2 linked regions of the Struthio camelus genome follow. The main gene of each other region encodes a partner of the protein of the gene in region 2 in a complex. Links are inferred from orthologs where the notes say so. Each region holds a gene or a part of one and is shown on either strand. Other genes may lie near its edges.

Region 1 (9,405 bases), on a different chromosome or scaffold from region 2:
TCTCCCCAAATGACTTCATAGCTCCTCCTGTGACCCTTCATCTGTACTGAAGGATCGCCCTGCAGCTGGCACGAAACAACTGGTGCTCTCAAGCCTAATCAACAGTCAGGCTGCTGAGCAGAAACAGCGGAAGCTGTTTGATGACAGGCTTTGTGCCCACACTGCACCCCACAGTGCAGCAATCCAGGTCAGCCATGGGGTAGGACTGACGCCTGCAACGCAAAGCTCTCTGAAGAGGAGACGCCATCTTTATGCCATGTGCGTGCAGAACCTAGGGCAGGAGGACCGTGCTCTCCACTGGGATGCCTAAGCCCAGCCATTTTCTGCTCAAGATGGGGAAAGAAAGCAAAACCCAAATCAGCATTAAATTATCAGCTAAAGAGATTGTTTTGTCCCCCTTGGTATGTTTAATAACCTGAAGCGTGCTACTAGTGTCGTGCGTCAGGACTTTAAGCAGCTTTTTAGTTTGATGGCATCCCTTCAGGGCTTTGTTTATTGACACTTCAATGACAGGCTCTTCCACAGCTGCAGCTGAGCCCCAGAGTATCTGCCTGAATTAAACCTTGCCTTGAAAAGGCAATAAATACTCCTTGCACATACACGAATACATCTAGTACAAACTAACAGCAACTAGTATACAAGTTCACATTTGAGAGGCTGGCCTGCAGGCCAAGCAGTCAATACATGGAAGGAAGAGGGGCTCAAGATTTCTAGTCTAGCATCTAATATGAGATTTCTCTATCTGTAGTTGTATTTTATATCAATCAAAGACAATCCTTACCTCCACAGATATCCCACGGGCACTGGGCCCCATTGTAACCGTGCCCACCTTCACCAAGAAGTCACAGTACTGGTAGCGGGTTCCCCGGCTCTCTATCTTGTTCGCCTTGGCATTTTGGAAGAAGCCTTTCAGCTTCACCATAAGGATATCAAAGTTGGCATCTGCTATGAGGCAGGGACCATTTTCAAAGAGAGCGAAACAGCTGAGGGGATATTCAGAGTTGTGCATCACATACATCAGCTTGCCTGTCTGCCCTGAAACAAGAGCAATGATATATGGGCTGCAGAAACAACAGTCCTGTGCTTGTATGTGCTTTTAAGAAAGAAACATCTCTTTGCTTTCCCTTTGTTTTCCTTGCTGCTTCAATTCTAGGATCCTTGTATTAGTCTCACACACTTTACGTTTTCTGAGTGTTCCGGAGATAGGTTATATTTCCCTCTTAGGGTTTAAAACTAAAGGAAAAAAAAATCTCATGCAGCCACTCCTTGCCCAGGGACAAGACGGCAGTGCAACTCAAGGGCCAGACTTGGATGTTAGATCTCCAGCAGGATGAGAGGGTCAGCAAAGAGCACCTGCTCCCCTCCCAGAACATGGGGCTGTCCTCTTCAGCCCTGCAGTAAAGGGAGAAAAGCTGGGTTTTGCCTCATCTCCCAGTCGCTGACCAGCCCCACAGAGCTAGCAAAGGAAGGAGGTGCCTGGGCACATTCTGGAAAACAGGACATCCAGAGAGGATGTGCCTAGCTTGTACAGTGATTCAGAAGTGGAAGAGGATTCTCATTTATCTGTGTTGGTTAAAAAAGCCTCTCAACAGATGTGATTGTGCAAGTTCCAGTTCCAGCTCCAGCAAAAAGCCCCTCTCATAGCTTCAAACCTGCAGACACATCCGCAAAACCCGACAGCAGGGCAGCTGAAGCAGCACCCCAGCTGCACCAATCTGCCTGGGAAGAGCGGTGAGGCTGGAAGGGCTCAGTGCTGACCTCTGCAGCCGCAGAAACACTGGAGGGATGTTCACACTGGTTTTTAAATGCTGTTAAAAGCCACATGCTTGGGAGGGAAAAGGAGGGGAGCACAGTCCCCCCAAGTGAGCAGATTAAGTCACGTCTTTCAGCTCTCCCGTTAGGCCCTGTGATGTCCAGAGGGAATGCCAGGTCCTCCAAGCACATCCCCCGGCCACGACTGGGTCATTTCACACCTCAGAAATTCCCCTAGAGCTGCTCACCACCGCCTGCCTGCCCTGGGGAGCCTGCTTTCTTCTCTGCTACCACCTCCTGCCCTCGATCGCTCACCCTCCTGGAGAAGAAGGGCAGAGCAGGTGACAGCAACAAGTTGCTCTCAGGAGACTCCTGTAACTTAGCTGCTGTGCAAAACGCAGCCTCCAAAACAAGTCACCAACAGTAACGCTTTAAGAAGCCTTAGGGAAAAAAACACTGCCAAACTGGCAGCTGGTTTTTGACCACTTATCTTATTTCACACGCACAAAAGAGAGATCCTACACAGCTGCTGATATTCCAGTTAAGAATCCTTAAGCGCTGACACAACACAGCTATCCTCAGTGCAGGAAAGGACAACCGTGGGGCATGTGTGTAACAGAGAAAACAGCATTAGTGAGACACAACAGGCTCCCAAGTGGAACGGCGCGTTTAGTCATTCAACATGTCTGTTCCAGGGCAGCCCACGGCACGCAGCACCCAGCCGCGGGGCCAGCGGAGCTGTCGGAATGACCTTCCCCGGCTCTCTGGGGACGATGCGCAGGGGCGCTATGTTTCCCAAAGCTATTCATCTGAGAGGGGAAGAGGTGAACTGCGGTATGAATCTTTCAAGGTAGAAAAAAGCTTTTACAAGCAGCCAGGCAACTGCCCGTTCCCCACAAGAGCTCAACACAATAAATAAAATGATGCTGACTTGTGGAAGAAACCTCAATTGCAGGGCAGAGCGGCGATCTCGCACGTAGCACGCGCTTGTTCCACAAGGGACCTCGCTGTTACTGCAGCCGGATTTCGCTACCAGCACGCTGGGCACGAGATGAAAGACCGAGAAACGCTCACGGGAGAAGAGAAGCCTCCGAGCTGGCACTGGATGAGAGCCTGCAACCACCTCCCTCCCTTTTACCGCGACCGGTCTCCGGGGGACCGCAGCTGCGGGGCATGCCCGGGGGTGGCGGCAGCGGGGGGCCGGCCCTGACCTTGGTTGCCCATGGTGGAGGCGGCGGTGTGGTAGGTCTCGCAGTCCACGCAAAACGTCCCCTGCTTCTCCGCCCCCAGCAGCTCCAGCTTCCTCGTCAGCATTTCGACCGTCTGCTGGACGCTCTTGCCCTCGGCCACGGGCACCTGCGCCACGCTGCGGGGGGAGGCGTCAGCGGCGCCTGCGAGCCCGGGGACCCGGCCTGGCCGCCACGGCCCCGAGCCAGGGGGTTAACGGCACCCGGGACGGGGGGAGGGCCACGGTGTCCCCCCGTGACAGCACCCACGCTGGGGGGGGGCCATCTGCCACAGCCTCCCCGTGACGGGGCCCATGGAAGGGGGGGGGACAGCTCCCGCTGCGGCCTCCCCGTGACGGGGCCCACGGAAGGGGGGGGGACACCCTCCGCTGCGGCCTCCCCGTGACGGGGCCCACGGAAGGGGGGGGACACCCTCCGCTGCGGCCTCCCCGTGACGGGGCCCACGGAAGGGGGGGGACACCCTCCGCTGCGGCCTCCCCGTGACGAGGCCCACGGAAGGGGGGGGACACCCTCCGCTGCGGCCTCCCCGTGACGGGGCCCACGGAAGGGGGGGGGACAGCTCCCGCTGCGGCCTCCCCGTGACGGGGCCCACGGGAGGAGGAAGGAACACCGCAACCCCCGCAACGAGAGCACCCACGGGGGAGGGAACATGCAGTTGCCCCCCGGCCAGCACCCACGGGGGAACCGTCCGCCGCAGCCCCCCGAGACGGCACCCACGGTGGAGGGGAGAGGGGGAACCGCCTCGCGCCCCCCTCCCCCCCCCCGCCATCCTTACCACGTGACGCCCATGGCGCGCGGCGGCGGCGGCCCCGGCAGCGCCGCTGCCGCGCGGGGGCCGCGGGCGGGGCGGAAGTGACGTGCGGGGCGTGAGGCGGCGTGTGACGTGGTGCCTGCGGCGCCGCGCGCGCCCTCCCGGCCCGGCCTCGCTCCCCCGCCGCCGCCGCCGCCATCATGCCGAAGGCCCCGGCCCGGGCAGGGCCCCGCGAGCGGGCGCCGCCGCTGGCCGAGCAGATCCTGCGGGCGGCGGCGCCGCGGCCCACGGCGCGCGTGAAGCGGCGCGGCGCGGCGGGTGGCGATGATGATGGCGGCTACGTGGACTCGCGGCTGTCGCGGCGGATCCTGGAGCAGGCGCGGCGGCAGCAGGAGGAGCTGGAGGCCGAGCACGGCCCCGGCGCGCCCGCCGCTGCCCTGGGTGAGCCCCGAGGCGGGGTCGGGGGGAGGCCGGGGGGGGGGGGTCCGGCCTTGCCCCGCGCTGACCCGGCCCCGTTTCACGCAGGCCCCGCGCCGCCCGGCCCGGACAGCGAGGAGGAGGAGGCGGCGGCGGAGGAGGAGGAGGAAGAGTGGCCCTCGCTGGAGCAGGCCGCGGCGGGGCGGTGGTGCCAGGAGGTGGCCGTGGACCCCGAGGACGAGAAGGCCATCGAGATGTTCATGAGCAGGAACCCGCCGCTGAGGTGGGCCGGGGGCCGGCGGGGCGCCGGGCCGGGGGCCGGGGACCGACGCTTGACTCACTCTCGCTTCCCTTCGTCCCGGCCCCAGGCGCACGCTGGCGGACATCATCATGGAGAAGATCACGGAGAAGCAGACGGAGGTGGAGACGGCGATGTCGGAGATAACGGGTTGCCCCATGCCTCAGCTCGACCCCCGCGTCCTGGAGGTCTACAGGGGCGTCCGAGAAGTAAGGCCGAGGCGGCTCCGCTCTGCGCGGGGGCCCGGCGGCGAGGCTGCCTCAGAGGCTGTTCTGCTACAGCCCGTAGCGCTCACCTGGCAGCGATCGCTGCCGAGCCCCCCTTTCCCTTCGCTGGTAGTAAGTACAGCGATCAGGACGTGTTCAAGGAGAGAAGCTCAGCTGGGGGTAAATTGGCATTTTCATGAGCAAAGTTGCTAATCTCCTTGCAGTGAGACACCCTGGGAAGCCCGAGAGAAACCCCACACCAGAAATGGGAGGGTGGTGTGATTAGTTAGCACGGCCCAGACAGTGCTTCCCTGGGTGTGCTCTTTCTCTTCAAAATAAATTAACTGCGATTTACATAGTGTCATTCACTGAAGACCCCAGAGTGTTTCTGAATGACTGAATCTCAAGGTCATGAAACAAATCCTGACGAATCCCCATGGTCCTGCTGTCAGTTCCACTATATCACTGCCAGGCTTGCATCCATTCCTTTTTTTGTTTTTTTTTAAGGTGCTGTCCAAATACAGGAGTGGCAAACTCCCCAAGGCATTTAAAATCATTCCTGCCTTATCCAACTGGGAGCAGATCCTGTACATCACAGAGCCAGAGACATGGACAGCAGCTGCCATGTACCAAGCAACCAGGTAGAATTGTGTCTGGGAATTACTGATTTTTTTTTTTTATTATTCGCTTCATCTTTCCACAAGCGAATACCAGATACGCAAAATGCCAGTCTGTGTCCTGCTTTCCTGTTCCTTTGCATGCCAAGGTGGAGGGAGTCATGGGGATCTCATAGCTGATGCCCTGGCTCAGGTACTGCCTGCAGTTACACACTCCCAGGACCTCTCTCCAGAGACAGACAGATCACAGCTTGCTTTGTGCTTCGCTCTTCCCAGGATATTTTCATCCAACCTGAAAGAAAGGATGGCCCAGAGGTTCTACAACCTGGTACTGCTGCCTCGGGTCAGGGATGACATCGCCGAGTACAAGCGTCTCAACTTTCACCTCTACATGGCTTTGAAGAAGGCTTTGTTCAAGCCAGGAGCCTGGTTCAAAGGTAGAGACTTCCCACAGGGTGATGGTTTGTACATAGGAGCCTTGCAGCCATACAGCAGCTGGGAAGCTCAGCAGGGGCATGTGTTGCACACTTGCCTTGTAACAGCACACCATGCTGTGTGTGGTGCGATGACTTCTGTCACGGCTGCAGCAGCCCAAGGGGTTGGTGGGAAGAAGGAGGGCAGAGAAGAAGCAAAAGAGATGTAGAGACCCCCTTGGGCCCATTTGCACCCTTCTGTGCTGAAGGGCAATGGGTACTGGCGGGTTACGCAGGTGCTGCCAGCAGATACTGGCAGATACTTGGTTTCTTTTGGAGGTCAGTAGCCCATTACAAATTATCCTAGGCCTGATCTGCATATTGTCTAGCAACCTGAGGATGTTTGGTGCTAGATGCATGGAGAAGAGGGTGGAAAGAGATATTGAAACTCCCATAACATAAACCAATGGAGGATCCTCTAATTCCTGGAGTCAGATGCATCCGGGGATAGGAGAAGGCAGCTCTGCCTGCTATGTTTAAGGACAGCAGTGTCTAACACTTTCCCCCCCGCCCCTGGCAGGGATCCTCATCCCCCTGTGCGAGTCGGGGACCTGCACGCTGCGGGAAGCCATCATCATCGGCAGCATCCTCACCAAGTGCTCTATCCCTGTCCTTCACTCCAGGTAACGTGGCAGTGGGGCCCTGCTGCCATGGGGTACTGGGAAGGATGGGCAGGGGGAACGGTTCTCCCTTTGTGATGCCGGAGCGATGCAATGGATCTGTCCCTAAGCCTCTCTGGCCTCTCGGAGACAGAGAAGGTTTCACCCAGCTCTGCCTTGTCTGTGCAGGGCTGAGGTTCAAGGCTTCCTGCAGTGCTGGGGCTGTCATCCGTGTGTCTGGGACCCACTGGGGCAGGGCTCAAGGGACAAGCTAACCTGGGAGAAAGGGAGCCTTCAGCTGTCCACGTCACGGGTGCCCCGTAGCTCTTGCTTGGCCTGCAGGTGCTGAGGCCCTGCCACACCTGCCCTCACCTTGGTGCTCCCTCCGTCCCCACAGCGCAGCCATGCTGAAGATTGCTGAGATGCAGTACAGCGGTGCCAACAGCATCTTCCTCCGCTTGCTCATTGACAAGAAGTATGCACTGCCCTTCCGCGTGGTGGATGCGCTTGTCTTCCACTTCCTGGCCTTCCGCACAGACCAGCGGGTCCTCCCTGTCCTGTGGCACCAGAGCTTCCTGGCCTTCGCCCAGCGCTACAAGGAGGACCTGTCCTCGGAGCAGAAAGAGGCCTTGCTCGAGCTGCTCAAATTCCACTGCCACCCACAGATCTCGCCAGAGATCCGGAGGGAGCTGGTGAACTCCAAGACACGGGATGTGGAAGGGCAGCAGCCTGTGGCCATGGAGTGAGCAGGAAGAGGTGGGGAGGCAGGGATCTGCTCTGAGAGCTTGCCAACTGCCTGAGGACGCTGGTGGATGCAGCTTGGAGCTCGGCTCGGAACGAAGCCATTGGGAGGTGCATGTGAGCTTCTGTCCCTGGGATCCTGCTGCTCCAAGCCGGGTGCTAGGAGCAGGCTGTGTCCAGTGACCCAGACTGTGCTCTTTGCGCTGCTTGTTGTGGGACAAGGCAGTCCCCTGTCCCACCCTGCGAGTCCGGTGCCCAGCAGTACCCAGGTGAGAGGAGGGTTTGGCCTGTTCCCATTTTGGAGAATAAAGCCCAAGCTGTGTCTATCGGTCCAGGGGCGATTCTGCCCCACGGTCAGACCTCTCTTTCAGCTGCGCCCATGGTGTGGCGCTGCCTTGTCCTAGTGTTGCTGTGTCCTATCTGCCTTGGACTGTCCCCAGCAGGTGGCAGAGCAAAGCCACGAGCTGGAGGCTTCGTGCAGAGCTGCGTGCCAGAGCTGCAGGTGCTGTCCCAGCTGCGAAGGGAGAAAAGGGCCCCTGTGCATCCCCGCTCCCCTCCCTGTGCCCCTGCTGCCCAGGGGACTCCTGCCTACACTGTGCCCCGAGAACCCGGTGGGCGAGGGAAGGGAGAGTGGCTCCCTCTTCAAGGGAAGCAGGGTGAGAAAGGGCTGGGACCTGCTAGCAGAAATGCAGAGGTGCAGGGAGTTGTGAGGGGGGTTCCCCAGGCTGCTGCTTGAGCAGGGGGAGAGGGTCAGCACTGAGCAGGGCAGGGACAGGCCACGCGTGTTTTGTTGGCTGTAAGAGAGGTGCACGTTGTGTGAGGTGGTGATGTCTCAACTGTTGTCAAAGCTGCTCTAAGGGGTTTAAAAAAAAAAAAAAAAGGGCTCCTTCTAGTGCTTGAGGGTTTCCTTACCCTATTACCAGGGTAAGGGTACCAGGGTTTTCTTACCAGCTATTACCAGGCAAGTGAGGTGTAGAGCTGCCTTTGTCATGTCCACTGTTAGGCTGCACTACAGCCCTGAGCTGCGACAGCGTGGGCACGGGGCACATGGTCCGGGCAGTGGCGAGTGCAAGAGCAGCACAGCAGTACTGAAAGCAACAGGGAAAGCCCCATGGTGGCCAGCACAGAGGGAAAAGCCTCCAGCTGGCAGAGAGCAATGAGCTATGCTTCTTAGGGTGCCTGGGAGCAGGCTGGGGCACAGGGCAGCCTTGACTCCCCCCCAGTTCCTTTACTGCTCCCTGCAGTGGGTCCCTTGCTGGCTGCTCCTGGGCCTGGGCCACCCTCCTTCCCCTTGCTGCACCTATTGCAGACTTGTCCCTGCGACTTGGCTCCCCAGCCACTGACCTCCCTCTCCCCACCACCGTCCCTCCTCCAAAATGCCCGCCAGCCCCTTTTGCTAGTGAAGGAGCTGGGTTTTTTTTTTTGAAACATACTGGGTTTGCTCCTCAGCAAGGTTTGTAAAGCTCCAGCCTCCAGGGCCGCTTTCCTCGGCTGCCCAGTGAGGCTGCGTACCTGCCCTCATTGCAGCAGCCTGCCCACACACGTTTCATATCCACTGGAAAACCCAGCTGCATTTTTCCTCCTCTTGGCCTGTGAGGTTCTGCACTTACCTGGGGACTTGCTAAGGGCTCCAGGTGATGCTGTGACAGTACAAGGCCCACATGCTTGCGCATAACTGGCCTTGCCCCTGAAACCAGCACAAAGTCCTGCTGAGAAGACCCAGGTAGAAAAGCCCCTGCAGCTCCCTGTTGCAGCAGTACCTTGCCTGTGCTGAAAAATGGCCTCTCAGCTTTGCTTCTCCCAAGAGCTGGCACCTTCTTCCTTGACAACCGAGCTACAGCAGGAGCAGAAGCCACGTGAAAGAAAGCAGCATACAAAGCCCAGCTGCTGTGGGCTGCTTGCACACCACAGTGCACCGTGCCTTTTCCCCAGCTTCCTGATTTTATCTCCTTTAACAAAGCCAGAATCTGATGTGCGAGAGAGATATCCTGGGCTCTCGCACAGCACATCCAGCCTGCTCTTGCCATCCTGCACCGCAGCCAGCGTGGTTGCACCGTGTCGATCTGTAGAGGGAGGCTTCAAAGGCACCGGGGGGGTGTGAAGGCACCAGCTCCCCTCCAGCAGCTGCGAGGCCTGCGCTGCGCACGCAGGCGCCTTGCCCACAGGAAGGTGTTCAGTGCAGCGCTGTTTGTGTCTGGGCCTTTTTCACATTCATCCACCACCATCTGCAAACTGCACCAGGGCTTCAGCAGCCCTGTGAGAAAGCGCGAGCAATGCCTATCTCAGAGGCGCAGAGCCAAGGCC
Region 2 (9,062 bases):
AAAATAGTGAAGCCTTAGGTTGAAAACCTCTGATCTTATACAGATGTGATAAAAATGGCCTGATTTTCAGAAAAGCAGCTATGTCAATGTGAAAAGCAAGTGCAAACCCCCATACATGTGGGGGAGGGAAGTAAAGCAATTTTCTTCCAGGACCTTAGCTGTATGCTTCCAGGTTTTAGGGTTTTCCATTCACAGAGCTAAGCCTCATAAGATTAATTTCCCTCTCCTTTCTCAAGGAATTCCCAGAAAAACAAGTAACTTCCTAAATAATTTTGCTACTTATAACGCCACTCAGAAGAAAAGAGGGACCCCTCAGCAAAATGGTCCTTGCACACATGCACTGCATTGATCATCAGATTAAAGCATAAGAACAGACTACTCCAAGGAGGTTTTTAATTTCCACTAGAGCAAGCAGTAAAAATAAACTGTTAGGCCTCGACCAATGTTCAGTATAATCCATTTCCTCTGCTCATATAGAAGGGAACCAAAACAGCAGTTCCAAAGACAAAAAAGTATCACTCTCACATTTTCAGTAATACATACCACAGGATTTTCTCCATGGTGAGCCACCTTGACATCACACAGCAGCCCTGTAGGATCTAACTGGACTTCCACATAGAACATGTCTGAAGTGATGTAACATTCAGTGCCATTTGCACTAAGGTGAGATCCAAGGCTTACATACAAAACAAAACAAAAATTGCTATGAGATGCACACAAAAAACAATCAAACCAGCAGCGAGATTACGATGTGTACAGATAAACAAGAAATGCCTTTGCCATAAAATAAGAAGACAACCTACCCATTCTGTCTAGCTATAGACTCTAAACGATCTGTCATGGCAGGCAGAGAAGATACTAGATGGAGAAAGCAAAAAGCAAGGCTTAGTGAAATGATTCAACATTCCTCCAGGAATGAGACAGCAGCATTAAAAGCAATCTCAACAACTTACCCACTCCCAGGTGTTCTCATACCTTCACACATGCAGCTATACATATTATCAACACCCAAACTTCAGGCAGAACAATTTTTAAAGAGAAAAACAAACACTCCTCAGGAATACAAGGAGAGAACGGATTTCCTTCCACATTCCAGACAAGTGGAATTCAGGTATGGGTATTTACAATAAAAATAACAGGCAATCTTGAGTGGTACTGAACCATAAGAGGTAAGCATGCTTACGTAAACATGAGCACACATACACCAAGAACGCAGAGAGATACGTGCTAGCAAGAACCTTGCTTGCTTTTATGACGTGGAATATTTCCACAGCGTACCATTGCTAAGCAGTACATAAAGTGAACGCACAGACGTACTAACCTTTTAATGCCTTCTGCAAAGTCTCCAAACAGCTCACCAGATGTTGGTGCCCCCCGGAGTTCATCACAACTCGCTTTTCCTTAGTCAGAGAGAAGAAAAATGACCTTTTGATATATATCTCACTGAGAGGGAATTACTGCAATTTTTGCTCAGTCAACTAAGCTTTATTCAGGTAATTAAAGGCAGATTAGACTTCATCCCAAAATTACATCCTCATTTCGATTCCTATAATAACAACAGTATCCATTTTGAAAGCAGGTAACAAAGGCAGGCAACTTGTTCTTTAAGCAACTCGCTCATCTGGAAGAACAGACTGTAATAACTTTTTAATAGGCATAAGCTGAGAGTTATATAAGAGGAGACAGAGAAATACCTAGACGGGCAAACTTTTAACATCTCAGAACAACACATGCAGAAACCTTTGATGTAGCTCTCTCCTGCCTTCTGCTCCTACCTTCCCCCACCCAGAAACTAATGTTTCAAAACCACATTCAACTAAGCCAACACTGAATTCTGAACACTACGGACAAAGGAGTAAATTGCTTAAGAAAATAAAACATCTCGAAACAGCAAGTGGCAGAACAGTTGTGGTTTGAACCGGTGGTGAGAGACCTTAAGTTTGGCCCTCTTCCTGCATTTGTACTGACAGCTGCCCCCTGTCAATTAGGCTGTAAAGCGGGAGGCTGCAACCAGGGAAAGCAGAGGCACTCCAGGCAGACAGGACATGCACATCACTCCCCTGCACGCTGCTGGGCGAGACAACCGGCATGCCTCAACCGCAGTGGCCCAACAGGAAGTCGAGGCTTGGATAAAAAGCAAAGCGCTTTGAAGAGATCTAACAAACCAACAACAGAATCATTACTAAAGATGCTCCTGAAACTCTCCTGCTCAGATTCCAACAATCCTCACCATGACTTGGCGGACTAGCTTCATGGTTTCTGTCCAAGGTCTGTTTTGGTTAAACTTTGCATGAAGTCTTTCTAAGAGCGAACTCATCTTATTCAGCTTCTCTGCTTCTATAAGGCAAATCATAGGAGAAAATTCAGAAGAGAGAGAACTAGATAAAATTTAAAGTTTTACAAATACAACAAGCAGGCAGTTGTAACAAAAACACTTTCCATCTTCAAGCTAAAAATGATTTCACAAAACTTACTTATTGCTGATTTATCACTGGGACCTAGACTTCAAGGTTATATGACATTAAGGATGTATCTATTAAAATATTATAACTAATAGATATAACTATTAAAACCTAGATGATCATCAAAGGTCTAAGGGCTCGTTGGGAGAAGCCCAGTTACTATTCTGCATGGACCCTGAATGAGATGAACGGTTCCAGACGACTAAGTTCTGTATGACAGTAATATGTCAGAGCACTGTTTGGGTTTACAGCAGCATGGCTTAAAGACGTGCTGAAGCTTTTTGAGGACAAGGAGTAGAGAGTGTAGAAAACATCGCATCAGCAAACTTTTAAAGAACAGAGGTTAAGCTTTCATCTCCTGACTTCACCTTCACTGTTCATACTCTTCTAACCCTCCGACTTCTTGCATTGTAAAGATTTGCACTGATCCCTTCATCTCTCACACCCTTAATTAAATTGATTCAACTGCCAGTGCTTCAGAGGGTCGAAAACTCTCTGACCAGACACGTTTTCACCCACCCTCTGTTAGCCTGAGACCAAGGACTGGTGTCTTCGTGCTGTTCTGGAACCAGTGTACGGCTCTATATCCTGTGATCTAACAAAGCAATTGATGACCTGTTTTGCTCTGCCTTCAAGAGTGGTTCACAGCTCAGTACCAGACTGGAATCTAGTCAACCTTTACAAAATGCTTGTCATATCCCACCAACTTCCTTCTATTAGGTATGGTTTTACAAGCTCGTTTTCCTGTATTTTAGAAAGTTCCACTGTTAGGAAAAGTATCTCCCTGATGAGATAAACTGATGAGAGGTGGGAGACAGGGACACTGACTGGGCAGAAAACTATCATCAGGCAGATTAACTAAAAAAATCCAAATTAGAATAGTGTATTTTTGCCCAATGTCTAATAAAAAACACATACAAAAAAAAAGAGACAGTTTCAAAAGTGTTATAATTTGACATTTCTTTTGCTATCTAGGAGACAGCTTTTTCTACAGTTGCATTCTTTGAAAAACCCAACGGACATCACTGCCAAAATAAATCTCTCACTGGCACTGCAGGGTCCAAGGCAAACACAAAGGCTACTAACCGCCATGCTGTGCAACACTGCAAACTTTGTAGAGCTCATTTTCATGATCGACGTGCGTACAGTTCACAGAATTAGCAGGGATCCCCACCAAGTCCCAGTGTAAAACATAACTAAACGTTTGTCAGATGTTTCCAGGCACTTTATACCTCTCAGTTACACTAGGGACAAGGGGATTTTTTTTGCCAGAGTGCAGCGCAGTCAGAGCTTCCCTTGGATGTTTGCCCTTATACCCTTCAAAAATGGAACAAGCCCTGCAGCCGGCGCGGGGAGGCCCAAGGGGTGCGTTACATGCACTACGGCGGGGAAAGCCCGGGGCGGTGCCGCCGGCCGAGGGGTCCTCGCCCCTCACGGCGGGCCGCAGCCGCGGTACCACCTCTCGGGGGGGGGGAGGGGGGGAGATACACGACACCTACGGCCTAACCCGGGGCGGAGACACCGGGAGCCCCTCGCCGGGCGGCCGGGCCCCGCGGCTCCTCACAGGGCCGGCCCGGCGCCCTCGGCCGCGCCCCTCAGGCGGCACTCACCCTCAGCGCCGCCCGGCGCCGCCTTCATGGCGCGGCTGGGGACGGGCGGCCCCGAGCGGGCCGCGGCACCGGCCTCGCGTCGGGTGGGCGGCGGCGGCCGGGCCCCTCCGCGCCGGCCTCACTCGGCGGCCGCCGCCATCCCAACGGCCGCGGCTGCGCTGCGGGCGGGCCGGCGCGCGGCGCTCCCGCCCTCTCGCGAGAGGGCGGCCGCGTCCTCTCGCGAGAGCCGGGAAAGCAGGGGAGGGGGAGGGAAGAGGCGCGCGCGCCGCGATCTCGCGAGAGCGGGAGGGGGGAAAGGGGCGTGGCCCGCGGGAGCCCCGCCCTCCCCTTTCAGCGCGGCGGCGTTCGCCGGCTTCCCGCAGCCCGGCAGGGCCCGGCGGCCAGCGGCAGCCCGCTCACAGCCGCGGCCGAGCCGCCTTTACGGCTCCCTCTGTGAGGCTCTACCTGCCGGACGATGGAGCTGGCCGCCTCGCTGCCAGGCCGCGGCGGTGCACCGGCTCCCCGGGCCCGCGGGGCGGCCGCCTTGCCCGCATCTTCCCCCGGCCGGCGCTGCCGAGAGGCGGAGCCGTAACCCCCGGCGTTCGGCCTGGTCGCGTAGGGGCGAAGGCGCAAAGCCCAGAGCGAGCCTCAGAGCAGCGCCGCGTTCGCCAGCCGAGCTCGGGCGGGTTTCCGTGAACTTTGAGCCCCCTGTGAAACTTCTCCCCCAGGCCCCGAGCCACTGGCAGAGCTGAGGCCCGGTCACCTCCCCCCTCAGCGGGCGGCTGGGCCGCGGCGCTTCGAGAACGGGTCCGTGTCCCGGGGCGGCCGCCGCCTGAGGCAAAGGGGGCGGCCATGGCCGCCCCGCGCGCCCTTATAAAGTTTTGTTGAAAGTGCGCGGCCGGGGGGGGGGAGGGGGGTTGTCCGCTCTCGGGGCCCCAATAAAGTTTCATTCGACGCCGGCGAGCGCGTCATCGGCAGAACTCTCGCGAGAGGAGGAACGCGCCCCGCTTCCCTTCCCTCCCCCCCTCTCCCCGCCCCTTCCGGCAGCTCTCGCGGGATCGGCGGCAGCGGCGGCGGGGCGGAGGGCGGCGGCGTTCTCGCGAGAGGCGGCGGGCTCTCGCGAGATTTGGCGGGCGCCCCCCCCCCCCCCTTGGACGCGGTGCCGTTTCGCTTTGGGAAGTGAGCGGGGGGCGCGGCGGGCCGAGCCGGGCCGGGCCGGGCACGCGGCGGCGCGGGGCGGCGGCGGCGAGGGGCGGCCTTCCGCCTCGGCGGCGGGGCGAGGGGCCGGCGCGGCGGGGCCCGGTGCTGAGGCGGCGGGAGGGGGAAGGAGGGAGGGATCTTGGGCCCAGGCCCCGCCTTCCCGGGGCGCCCCCGCGGCGGCGCTGCCCTCCGGGCCTGGGCCCCTCGGGTGAGGCGGTGAGGCCGGTGCCCTTCCGCCGCCGGTTCCCCCTTCCGCCTCCTCCTCCGCCTCCTCCTTCTCCTCTGCCGCCGCGGGGCCGAGCTCGCCGGCCCGCTCCCCATGTAAGGGGTGGGGGGTGTTGGCGGCAGGGAGGGCCGAGGCGGGGGGCGACGCTGCTCTGAATGGTGGGAGGGGAGGGAGCTGGGTGCTGAGGGAGTTTAAAGTTTGGGGGTTTTGGAGGATTCCCCCCCTCCCCTCTTTCAAGCACAGTGGAGGAGGAATGCCAAATCCGGAGAGACATGGGGGCAAGAAGGACGGGGGCGGTGGGGGGTCCTCGCAGCACGCGCCTGGCAGCGGCAGTTCGAACAGCAAGGAGAGGCATCGGCTGGCCTCCAGGCACAAGAGGCATAAGTCCAGGCACTCCAAGGAGTCACCGCTGGCAGCCCAAGAGACTGCGGCACCCTTGGGCGCAATGATCAAGCCGCTGGTGGAGTACGACGACATCAGTTCAGATTCGGATACCTTCTCGGATGATGTGGCCCTCAAGCTGGACAGGAGGGAGAACGAGGAAAGGAAAGCGGACAGGAGCGAAAGGATACAGAAGCACCGGCACCACCAGCACAAGCGCATTCGTGAGCTGATGAAGAGCAAGCAGGCGGAGAAGGAGAGGAAGTTAGAAAAGAGCCTGGAGGCATCTAGCAGGTCAGGGTCCACCAAGGACAGACTATCAGGATCCTCCAAGAGACTCCTCGATGACAACGAGGAGCACCCCAAGTCACTGTCTTCGAAGAGTAGCAACAAGGAGTCTCGGTCAGCCAAAGCGCACAAGGAGAAATCCAGGAAGGATCGAGAACTCAAGTCCAGCCACAAAGAGCGCAGTAAAAGCCACCGGAAAAGGGATGCTCCAAAAAGTTATAAAACAATTGACAGTCCGAAGCGGAAATCCAGAAGTCCTCACAGAAAATGGTCTGACAGCCCTAAATTGGATGACAGCCCCTCAGGAGCCTCCTACATCCAGGAGTATGATATCAGCCCTCCCCGGTCTCATACATCCAGTAACTATGATTCTTACAAGAAGAGCCCCGGCGGCTCATCACGCAGGCAGTCGATCAGCCCGCCCTACAAGGAGCCTGTGGCCTACCAGTCGAACACTCGCTCTCCCAGCCCTTACAGCCGGAGACAGAGGTCTATAAGTCCCTATAACAGGAGGCGCTCCTCAAGCTACGAGAGAGGAAGCGGGTCGTACAGCGGGAGGTCGCCCAGCCCGTATGGCCGAAGGCGCTCGAGCAGCCCTTTTGTTGCGAAGCGGTCTGTGAGCCGAAGTCCGATAGCCAGGTGCGTGACCTCTGTGTTGCCTTCGTTGGCTGGGCGATGGGGAAGGAAAAGTGGAATGGGGAAGGAGGAAGTATCTAGGGGTGGTCGGGGTGGCTCTGGGAATGTGGAAATTAACCCCCTTTGTCATCTAGATCTGACCCAGATCACTCTGTGCTGTGGCTGCGTTATTTGGCCGCAGAGTGACTGACTTTGGTGAGGTTCGCTGCAATTCTCTTTAAAATGGTGTTCACACCTTAGAAAACACCTCCCTCACTGGCACTAAGCAGCGTCCATGTTGGCTCTCAGCAGAGAGGCCTAGGACTGAATGAGCTCTTGGGATTAAATTACACTTACCTCTAGAGGTGGCCCCCTGCGGAAGGGAGCGAAGGGGAGCAGGGAGCTGCATGTCCACTGGAGACAGAGCTTTTCAACTCCTGAGGCACTTCAGTGGTGTGAATTTCAGTTAGGAAGAATGTTTTCACTTATTTCTGGAACCCTTTAGCTTTTTGCTGGATGTGGAAACTTGCTCACGCTTTTCAGGAGGGTGGCTTTTGTTCTGAGTATATTTTACTCTTTCTAAACTGACTTATTTTTTTTCTTTCTTTCCTTGAATTAAAGATGACCATGTTTAAACTGCATCTTTCTAGCCTAGACTTTATCAGTAATGGAGTTACTTGCTTCCATATTCTGAAATCAGGGCATTCTGGAAGGGCAAGTAGGAAGCAGCTGTATTCTTGGCTTAATTATAATTTTCTTTCTCTTCCCCCCCCCCCCACTCTCTCCTTAGTCAGAAATCTTGCTACAGAAGGAAACTATTACTTGAAAGTGGTGCTAACTCTGTGTTTTGTTTCAGATGTTTATTAACCATCCTGTTATGTGCACAAATACGTAGTCTAATGCTGATTCTCTTTTCTAGCTTCAGCTTAGGTTGAACAAGTTTCCAGTTTTCACTGTGTGTGCTGTGGAGCTTTGGTTGTAGCTCCATGGCAATTAAGATCTGACCTGGAACGTAATAACTATTGAAATGCTCTGTACTGTGTTGGCTGTGCTGCATCCTTTGGTCCAAATAGGAGCTGTGAGAGAAGAGTCTGCCTGCAGAACTTAGTTACATCATCAATAGTTCCCAGAGAACTTGGTGATTTTGGAATTTGGGCTTTATTACTAGAGCTCCTCTCTTAACTTCAGAGACTGCTATGTTCTGGGGTTGAAACATCGCCTTTCTCCTCACTGTATGAGCAGTGTATTGTTTAGTATCCTGGAAGCTGTTATATAAAATCTGCTGTGTAAAATCGTAGAATAAGCAAATAAGTAGAAATAAGCGAAAGTTACCCTGCCTTTCCTTCAGCCAGCTGAGTCCAGGCCTGTTTCTCCCTCCCCGTTTTCTGTGCGTATACATGAGAGATGTTGAGAGGGAGTCTTTGATGGCTTTCTTTTCCCTCCCCTCAATTCTTTTTGCCTTAATAGCACTGCTCTTACAGGTTATTTGGTAATGCTTTGTGCAAGAGTAAGAACAAAGTGGTAGAAACTTATGTACGGTATGTGATGTAATAGCGTATATGGGATCTGCTAAGTTTCCGTGCTCGGCTGTAACCAGGGAGAAACTGCTTGGGGAGTGAAGTGATATACTAAAAGGTGGTCTTTCCCTCGGTCGCCTTATTTCCCAAGCAAATCTGAAGCTCGCTCTTTCTGTGAACGGCCAGTTGTTTTTGACTTGAGGAATCAAGCTGTTATCTTTTCGCCATCTTAATTATGGGAGCAACTCTGAAGCAGTTTGTGATTCCCTGAGCTTACATACCTATGTAGGAAACTTTCTCAAGGCATCTTTGACTCACTGACAAAAAGCTAGACCCAAACCAAAATAGATTTCAGAGGTTACTTATTGTTTACACTCTGCTTGCACTAGAATCTTTGAATCTATGACTTCTGTTGATAACCTGTCACTCTTTTCTCCTTTTTGAAAGATAGCTTACTGACATTGATATGGTTTTTTTTTAGAGCAGAACATAAAGCATGGATTACGCCTTCAGAAAACATCTGCCTTGGGTGATTATGTTAAAGGGACAGAGAGAACTTGAAATTTGCCTAATATATGAAAAATACTTTAAGTTGCAATTAATATATTGGTTTTGCTTCATTAAGCTTGCAGTCAGTACTGTGTGGAAGTCAATTTACGCTTATGGTCAAACATCTGCTCCGGAAGCCAGAGATGTCCCGCAGCTGTGTGGTACTACCCCTCTGCTGAAGGCTGTCCAAGAGCTCACCTGAAGGAACTGATCAGCTGAGTATTCCTCACCTGCT

The links.
Region 1: MED1 (region 2) and MED20 share a complex: the UniProt entries of both Homo sapiens proteins name them as parts of the mediator complex. The link is inferred for Struthio camelus from reciprocal best matches to the Homo sapiens genes MED1 and MED20.

Annotation. Positions count from the first base shown.
Region 1 is NC_090965.1:6,382,163-6,391,567, forward strand, and holds the start of MED20 (mediator of RNA polymerase II transcription subunit 20), read right to left. Parts: upstream 3,862-9,405; 5' UTR 3,789-3,861; coding exon 3,775-3,788; intron 3,767-3,774; exon of another isoform or gene 3,677-3,766; intron 3,119-3,676; coding exon 2,964-3,118; intron 1,036-2,963; coding exon 782-1,035; intron 1-781. Other genes in the region: BYSL (bystin), read left to right, coding at 3,951-4,191, 4,276-4,450, 4,536-4,674, 5,179-5,312, 5,565-5,725, 6,282-6,384, 6,758-7,106. UniProt on the Homo sapiens protein: Component of the Mediator complex, a coactivator involved in the regulated transcription of nearly all RNA polymerase II-dependent genes.
Region 2 is NC_090966.1:6,513,246-6,522,307, forward strand, and holds the start of MED1 (mediator of RNA polymerase II transcription subunit 1), read right to left. Parts: upstream 4,176-9,062; 5' UTR 4,101-4,175; coding exon 4,073-4,100; intron 2,338-4,072; coding exon 2,231-2,337; intron 1,401-2,230; coding exon 1,322-1,400; intron 859-1,321; coding exon 804-858; intron 677-803; coding exon 544-676; intron 1-543. Other genes in the region: CDK12 (cyclin-dependent kinase 12), read left to right, coding at 5,731-6,785. UniProt on the Homo sapiens protein: Component of the Mediator complex, a coactivator involved in the regulated transcription of nearly all RNA polymerase II-dependent genes.